Linked DNA regions of Macaca mulatta. The protein of the gene in region 1 purifies or fractionates together with the protein of each later gene. This does not show direct contact. Links are inferred from orthologs where the notes say so. Each region holds a gene or a part of one and is shown on either strand. Other genes may lie near its edges.

Region 1 (3,500 bases):
TTCCAACTATCTCAAAAATGTCTCATGTAGCTGGTTTCTTCAACCACAACCCAACCAATATTCATGCGCTGCATTTGCTTTTTATGCGCTCTTTAGTCTCAACCTGGGAAAGCAAACAAGGCCCTACACATTTACATTTTCCAAAAATACTTCACACCATTCACCTGGTCAAAAAGAGAGATTTTCTTCTAAGTTTGGCTCCACGAACTCCTAAGAACCAAACCTACCTGGGGGGCTGAGAAGCTGAAGAACTTCAGTGTGCTCCATAGCCTGCAGGAAATCACTCAATTCTGTGACTGTGCAACCTTTTTCACCCATTAACTTCAGCAGACACAAGCTGGGGCTTCCTTCAGGCTCCAGCACCTTAAGAGAACACTGCTCCAGGTCTAGGCAACTGAAAGCAACAGAAAGAATTCAAGTCAACAGCTTTCTTCCACATGCTACACCTGCTATACATCTGGACCGCGGTGGTGCTGTACGGAATAAATCACAAGGGAGTGGGTGGGTGGTGACAAACTTTCACATAATGAATGCAAGTATCCTTTCCTCCTCTTTCCTCATGGGGAATCCCTCTTTATTCCCTTCTCCCACTCAGCTCCCATGATTATTAAATCAGGAGAATGAGAAACCTAGAAACAGGATGTGAGAGAAATTGAGCCCTGATACTTAAAGGATTTTTGCCTTTAATTTAGGAATGGGGAATAGGAAGGCCAGAAAAATTTCCTTACTCCTTCTTCAAAGATGGTGAAATACAAAGTGACCCCAAATGAAGCCCCAGTAGGCTACATTTTGCTGCCTCCTGAGTGAAAGAAATATGCACTCATTCCATTAGGGAGCCAAAATATCTTAAATCATAGGCACATGCATGTATACAAATGGTGTTGGTAGTACTCTGAATTGAAAGGAAGACAGGCTAATGTCTCAAAAATGACACTAAACAGAACAATCAATGTTACAAGGTTAGCAATGGAAAAACATTTAAAATATCCTTAATTACTAGTTCAAATACAGTAGGGCATGCATATCAAATGAAATACTGTTAATTCAGTAAAAAAAAACTGAGCCTGAGGTAAAGGCATAGGTCTTCAAGACATACTGAGAAATGAAGGAATTAACATAAACAACTGTATATTTTACACTATTTGCGTTAACAAGATAGTATGTCTGTGTGTATATTCATACAAAAAAAGGAAGATACAGAACAGTGTTTGCTATTACCAAGATCCTTTGTGTGTGTTCTTATACATGGAGAGTAAACTTTGAAAAGGTATCTAAGAAACTCATAGCCATGGTTGCCTCAGAGAGGGTAAGAGAGTAGAGCTCATGGCTGGATGATCTACTTTTCACTATAATCCCTTTTGTACGGTTGATTTTTTATGTGTATTTATTTTTTGATAGTTTTTTTTTTTTTTAATAGAGATGGTGTCTTGCTATGTTGCCCAGGCTTGTTTCGAACTCCTGGGCTCAAGCGATAATACTGCCTCTGCCTCCCAAAGTGCTGGAGCCACCACTCCTGGCTCTTTTGATAATTTTTAAAAAGTAGATTTAGAAAGAGAACCAGTACTATTGACATTCAAAGTACTTAGGCTGGGCATGGTGGCTCACACCTGTAATCCCAGCACTTTGGGAGGCCAAGGCAGGCGGATCTCATCAAGCCAGGAGTTTGAGATCAGCCTGGCCAACATGGTGAAATCCCGTCTCTACTAAAAATACAAAAGTTAGCTGGTGTCTGGTGGCGCACGCCTGTAGTCCCAGCTACTCAGGAGGCACAAGAATCGCTTGAACCCAGGAGGTGGAGATTGCAGTGAGCTGAGATCGTGCCACTGCACTCCAGCCTGGGCGACAGATCGAGACTCTCTTAAAAAAAAAGAAAAAAGAAACCAAAGTACTTCTAAGTACCTAGAAATATCCTACTGCAGGGACCATGGCCTGTGGGCCAAATGTGTTCAGCTACCTGATATCCGTAAATAAAGTTTTATTGGAGCACAGCTACACTCATTCATTCACATATTTACAAATGTCTATGGCAGCTCTCCTGATACAACAGCAGAGCTGAATACCTGGCTGCAAAGCCAAAAATATTTACCACTGGGTCCTCTATGGAAATAGTTTGCTAACCCTTCCTTTAAAGAGTGTCTTACTGTCCTTTTGTTAAAACTATTCTTTTAAAAATACCAGTATTTAACATACATATACAATTTCCTTTTCCATGTTATCGTGTGCCGCAGTGGTATACGAGATTAGAAAGATAGGTTAAGATCAGATCATAGAAGGCCACAAAGAATGGAACAATATATGAATTGTAATCATGTTATAGAAGGGGAAAATACAAGTATGAAACATGCAAGGGGAGACAAAAGAATAAAGTAAAAACCAAGCAATCAATGACACAAAAACTTTCCCAAAGAAACATAACCAACAGCAGCCAACCAAAGTGTTCAGATAATCTGCGTGATATACTATAGAATTCATACCTCATCCATCTTTGCAGATCCTGCTCCTTTTCCTGCCAATTTCAATTACAGTCCCATATTAACTCTAGCTTCTCTATAAGGTCCTCCTAGACCACACCAGTCCACCAAACACACTTTATACACACAGTCTTCTAATTGCACTAATTCTATAGACAACTGTTTTTCTAAATGGCCAGTGAGTACATACTTTAGATATTCTGGGCCATAAAGTCTCTATCACACATTCTTCTTTGTTGTTGTTTGTTTTGTTTTACAATTCGTAAAACACAAAAACCAGTCTTAAATCATGGGTTATATGAAACAAGTAGCAGCCTGGATTTGGGCCTTAAGCAGTCTTGTGCAGACTTGTTTCATGTTTTATCTCACATAATTTAACCTCAGAACTGTGAGCTTTTCTTCATGCTCATGAAGAAAAGCTTCTTTATCCAACTAGATTATAGTAAACTCCTTGAAAACAGAAACCCCAGCATATTAAACATACATGTGTGTGTATACACACACACACAGACATAAAATCCCTCAATACCTAAAATTCTGTCTTGTCCATATTAATTATGCATAAATGAAAGATTACTGAATGAATTTCAATCATAACTGTCAAGGCTGAAAGCCTGAATAGATGCAAGGGGTGAAACATAATAGTCCTGGGGTGTGACAGAATCAAGGTTAGCAAGCTATTTTATTGCTTGAAATATTAATCCTCATTCATTTTGAGTAGTCTTATTAAGATGCTACCATACCATTTATACTGTCATCCAAGATTTATAATTCAACGATGTTAATTATTTCATATGGAAAAAATGTATACGATCAAATTAATTTCATTAGTAACATTATCTACCTCATAGAGTTGTTAGAATTAAATAGCTAATCCATGTAAGAAGTGTTTAATACAGTGCTTGACAGGTAACAGACATTCAATAAAGGTTAGCTCTTACTATGCAATAAGAATATGGGGATATTAAAATAATATTAAAGCTAATTTCTTAACTATGCTTATTTCTGAAACAATTTTAGCTTTTCCGG
Region 2 (3,967 bases), on another chromosome or scaffold:
CAGGCTGGTCTCGAACAACTGACCTCAAGTCATCTGCCCGCCCCGGCCTCCCAAAGTGGTGGGATTACAGGCGTGAGCCACTGCGCCCGGCCCTCATTTCTATTTTAATTAAATTTTATTTAGGATAGGCTTAGCTTAAATGTTTACGACTGAGGTCTGACTTAAGATGATAGCATAAACCATGGAGCTTTCTTTTGTGAACATTACTATTACTCAACCCAATTTTCCCAGGTCAAATTTTGTAATACAAAATGTGGTCAAGATTTGATTCTCTGATCGATTTTTAGTAAAAAAGAAAAAAATTTCCGTGTAGCTTTAAATGTTGTCAATTAAATTTTGTAATAGTTACCTCTACTCTGTTCAGGTTAATACTGCGGTTTTCAACATGACCAACATACGATTCTTTGTTGTTGTTTTGGTGGGGTTGGGGGGCATAACAGTTTTTTCACTCTTGTTAAATTAATTTTCTGTTGATTCCATCTATCCCTAATCTTCACTATGAACAAGATACTGGGTTTTCTTCTGAAGATCAAAAGTGGTAGTGAGGCAATAATGCAAAGACGTAGGACGGCAGGGGGATTCCGGCTTCTTTCTTTTTTCCCCTCCTGTGGAAAGAGGGTCTATAACACTCCGTAGTAGAGAAGAAAATTCTAATTATGAAGGGTAATTAGCTAGGTTTTGCTATAACCGAGAGCCCTGAACGATTCCTCAACGCGGGCTGCTTTTCTCTTCCTCTCCACCAGAGGCGATAGCCTCTTTCCAAACAGAAACTGGGTTGGAATAGGCCGGTCCTGGGGAGCGGCCAGAAGAAAGATCAAAGGTTAAAAACCGCCTCAAAGAGCAAAGGTCAATACCCAACTCCTAAGGAGGCCTGACACGAAACATGAAGGTGACTCCTCCCAACATCGAGGCCTGGGGCCACTCAGCCTTCCAGAGACCCTGCGGGTCCGAGGCGAGTAACAGGTAACACCAGCTGAGCCGCCGCCGACCGGAAGTGGAAGAAAGCCCGGGGCGGGGTGAGGCAGGCCGCGGCACGCCTGCGCAGTCAGCAGGAGTTGCAGCGCTCATGCGCTACTGGGCGGTGACAGGGTGACGCTCGGAGCGTGGGCCGCGACTCTCACGGATCCGGTTCCGCCCTCTCGCTGCCGATCCTTCGGAGCGAGCGCCCCAGATCCCTTTCCCAGAGTGCTCTGCGCCGTGAAGAAGCGGCTCCCGGGGACTGGGGGCATTTTGTGTTGGCTGGAGCTGGAGTAACAAGATGGCGGCGTCGGCGGAGTGACAGGGGTCCCTCAGGGCCGGAGCCGGCGGCAGTGGTGGTAGCTGTATCGCCGCCCTAGCTCACCGCGCCCCTTTTCCAGCCCGCGACGTCGCCGCGCAAGCGAGGCAGCGGCGGCCGCCGAGAAACAAGTGGCCCAGCCTGGTAACCGCGAGAAGCCCTTCACAAACTGCGGCCTGGCAAAAAGAAACCTGACCGAGCGGCGGTGATCAGGTTCCGCTCGGCTGATTCTGGGCCCCGAACGCCGGTAAAGGCCTCCGTGTTCTGTTTCCTGCCGCCTTCCTCCGTAGCCTTGCCCAGTGTAGGAGCCCCAGAGGCCTCCGTCGTCTTCCCAGAGGTGTCGGGGCTTGGCCCCAGACTCCATCTTCGTCTCTCAGGATGGCGAGTAGCAGCGGCTCTAAGGCCGAATTCATTGTCGGAGGGAAATATAAACTGGTACGGAAGATCGGGTCTGGCTCCTTCGGGGACATCTATCTGGCGATCAACATCACCAACGGCGAGGTAATCACCTGGGGTGGGGTTCACGATAACGCTGCGCTTTTCCTCATTCCCCCCACCACCACCGCGCACCCCCAAAGTGCTCGGGCCTTTCCTCACCGCACGCACTCGCCAGGGAGTCCAGGGAGCTAGTTTTCCTGGCTTGCGATCCTCGCCCGCTCTCTCCCTAAAAGGGTCAAGAACCCGATAGAAAGGTTGGGGGAACTAGTTTCCCAGCTTGTTAAACACGTCCCATAAATGTCCCTTCGTCGAGCTGTTTTTTTTTTAACCGACTTTTAAGGTGGAAACGGCAAAATCCTCTTTCTGTGATTCCCATGCTTTGCTTTGCTTTTCTTTTATTTAATTTTTAATCCTACTGGGCCTCTTGTTCCAATTAGAACAGTTTCCGATTGCCTAGTTCCTTAAAAACCTCTCACTACGTTCAGAGGTTGCTTCTTTTTTCTGGATGAATCATTTTCCTGCACTTTAGAGGACGTACGATTTCGTCACTACCCCCTGAAGAGGCCTTTGAGGCTGGTTGCCTCGTTTTATAATTACAGAGAGCTTTCTCTTTCCAGCTTTTCACTTCTTCCTTGTAGTCGCGACTTGGAGTTTTGCTAATGTCTCTCTCCTTTCCTAAATGACACTGAATCCGTAGGGATGTTGATGCCATCATCCCCTCTTTCCCCTGCAGGAAGTGGCAGTGAAGCTAGAATCTCAGAAGGCCAGGCATCCCCAGTTGCTGTACGAGAGCAAGCTCTATAAGATTCTTCAAGGTGGGGTTGGCATCCCCCACATACGGTAAGAACCCCGTGCATGTAGGCGATCCGCTGAGGGAAGCACGGAATGGGGAAGTGGGTAGAGGCAGGTAATGAGACCAGCTGAATCCGGGTCTTGTTTTAGTTACCTGGGTTCCTTGTAGCTGGTGCCTTCCTGTAAGTCATCGCAATCACTGAGTAAATTTCAATTTGCCAACTTATTTCATTGTATTACACTGCTCCATTTCGCTTCCGTCATTCTCTTCCCGAGGCTTTCGTTTGCAGTTAGGCGTGCGGGTCATCTTTGATCCCTACGCGGAAGGGTTGGCTGCTGCCTTTTTTACGGCGGCACGTCTGATGTTCTTAGGTTTGTCCAGTGAAGTGGATTTGAAGGTGCTGAAGCGACCCGGCAGTGTCAGTTCGAGTTGCTATTGGAGCTGGCTTGGGAAATGGCTGCTCTTTTGTTGTGTTTTTGTTCCAACATGTCTTCCTCCTCCGCTTAGAAAATGGCGGAACGACGTGACTCAACCCCATATTCCTGCCCTTTTCTCAGCTTGGGTTCACAAATTATGCTTCCTTGATTCCTCCTTTAGCAGCCCCGAGTGGATTAAACCTTTGAAAAGCCAAGAATAAAGCTGCAGGAGGCGGTGTGGGGGTTCGAGGAAGGAGATGGCATAGTGACAATGTTTGTGATCTCTGCAGCAGATGTGACATGAAATTGTTGAATTATACTATGTAAAATCCTTTGTGGTTCTTTTAAAAGTGTTAATTACGCTTTCCTTTCGTGAATGGTCATATTTGGCACATTTCAGTCGGGACTAAATTTGTATAGGTAATGGCAAAGGCAGTTTGAGCAGCACCAACTATGTTAAAATTTACTCAAATCAATTGTATTAAAAGAAATCTTAATCACTTAGCCACACTTTGATAAGTAATTTTAACCTGTTGAGTTTGGCAGTAAATCTTAATATCAGAGAAATTGCGGCCTTTGTTGGTGTGGAATATTGGTGAGTGCAAATTGCAGTAACGAGGATAAAAGATGACGAGATAGAAAGACATTGTTCTGTCAAATGGTTAACTTTACTTTGGAGGGTTTTAGAGTAATGTTTTAACTTTTGGGATTAAAGAGCCTCTTCATGGAATGGAGACTAAAATATAGTTTAAAACCAAGCTATTTTTCAGCAACAATCTAAAATACCTTTTGCAAAAATATTCAGAATAGGTGAGAATGGTGTTTACTGTTTGCTGGAGACTCTTTTTTTTTTTTTTGAGACTGAGTTTTCGCTCTTGTCGATCAGGCTGGAGTGCAGTGAATGGCACGATCTTGGCTCACTGCAACCTCTGCCTCCTGGGTTCAAGCGATTCTAGTGCCTCAGCCTCCTGAGTAGCTGGGATTACAGGCGCCCGCCACCACACCCAGCTAATTTTTGTATTTTAGTTTCACCATGTTGGCCAG

Evidence for each region. The genes of interacting proteins can lie anywhere in the genome.
Region 2: the proteins of MALT1 (region 1) and CSNK1A1 purify together in Homo sapiens (affinity purification with western blotting; 3 studies listed by BioGRID and IntAct, with this or other methods). This does not show direct contact. The link is inferred for Macaca mulatta from reciprocal best matches to the Homo sapiens genes MALT1 and CSNK1A1.

What each region holds. Positions count from the first base shown.
Region 1 is NC_133423.1:22,322,937-22,326,436, forward strand, and holds part of MALT1 (mucosa-associated lymphoid tissue lymphoma translocation protein 1), read right to left. Parts: intron 395-3,500; coding exon 228-394; intron 1-227. UniProt on the Homo sapiens protein: Protease that enhances BCL10-induced activation: acts via formation of CBM complexes that channel adaptive and innate immune signaling downstream of CARD domain-containing proteins (CARD9, CARD11 and CARD14) to activate NF-kappa-B and MAP kinase p38 pathways which stimulate expression of genes encoding pro-inflammatory cytokines and chemokines.
Region 2 is NC_133411.1:158,512,786-158,516,752, reverse strand, and holds the start of CSNK1A1 (casein kinase I), read left to right. Parts: upstream 1-1,167; 5' UTR 1,168-1,654; coding exon 1,655-1,777; intron 1,778-2,447; coding exon 2,448-2,554; intron 2,555-3,967.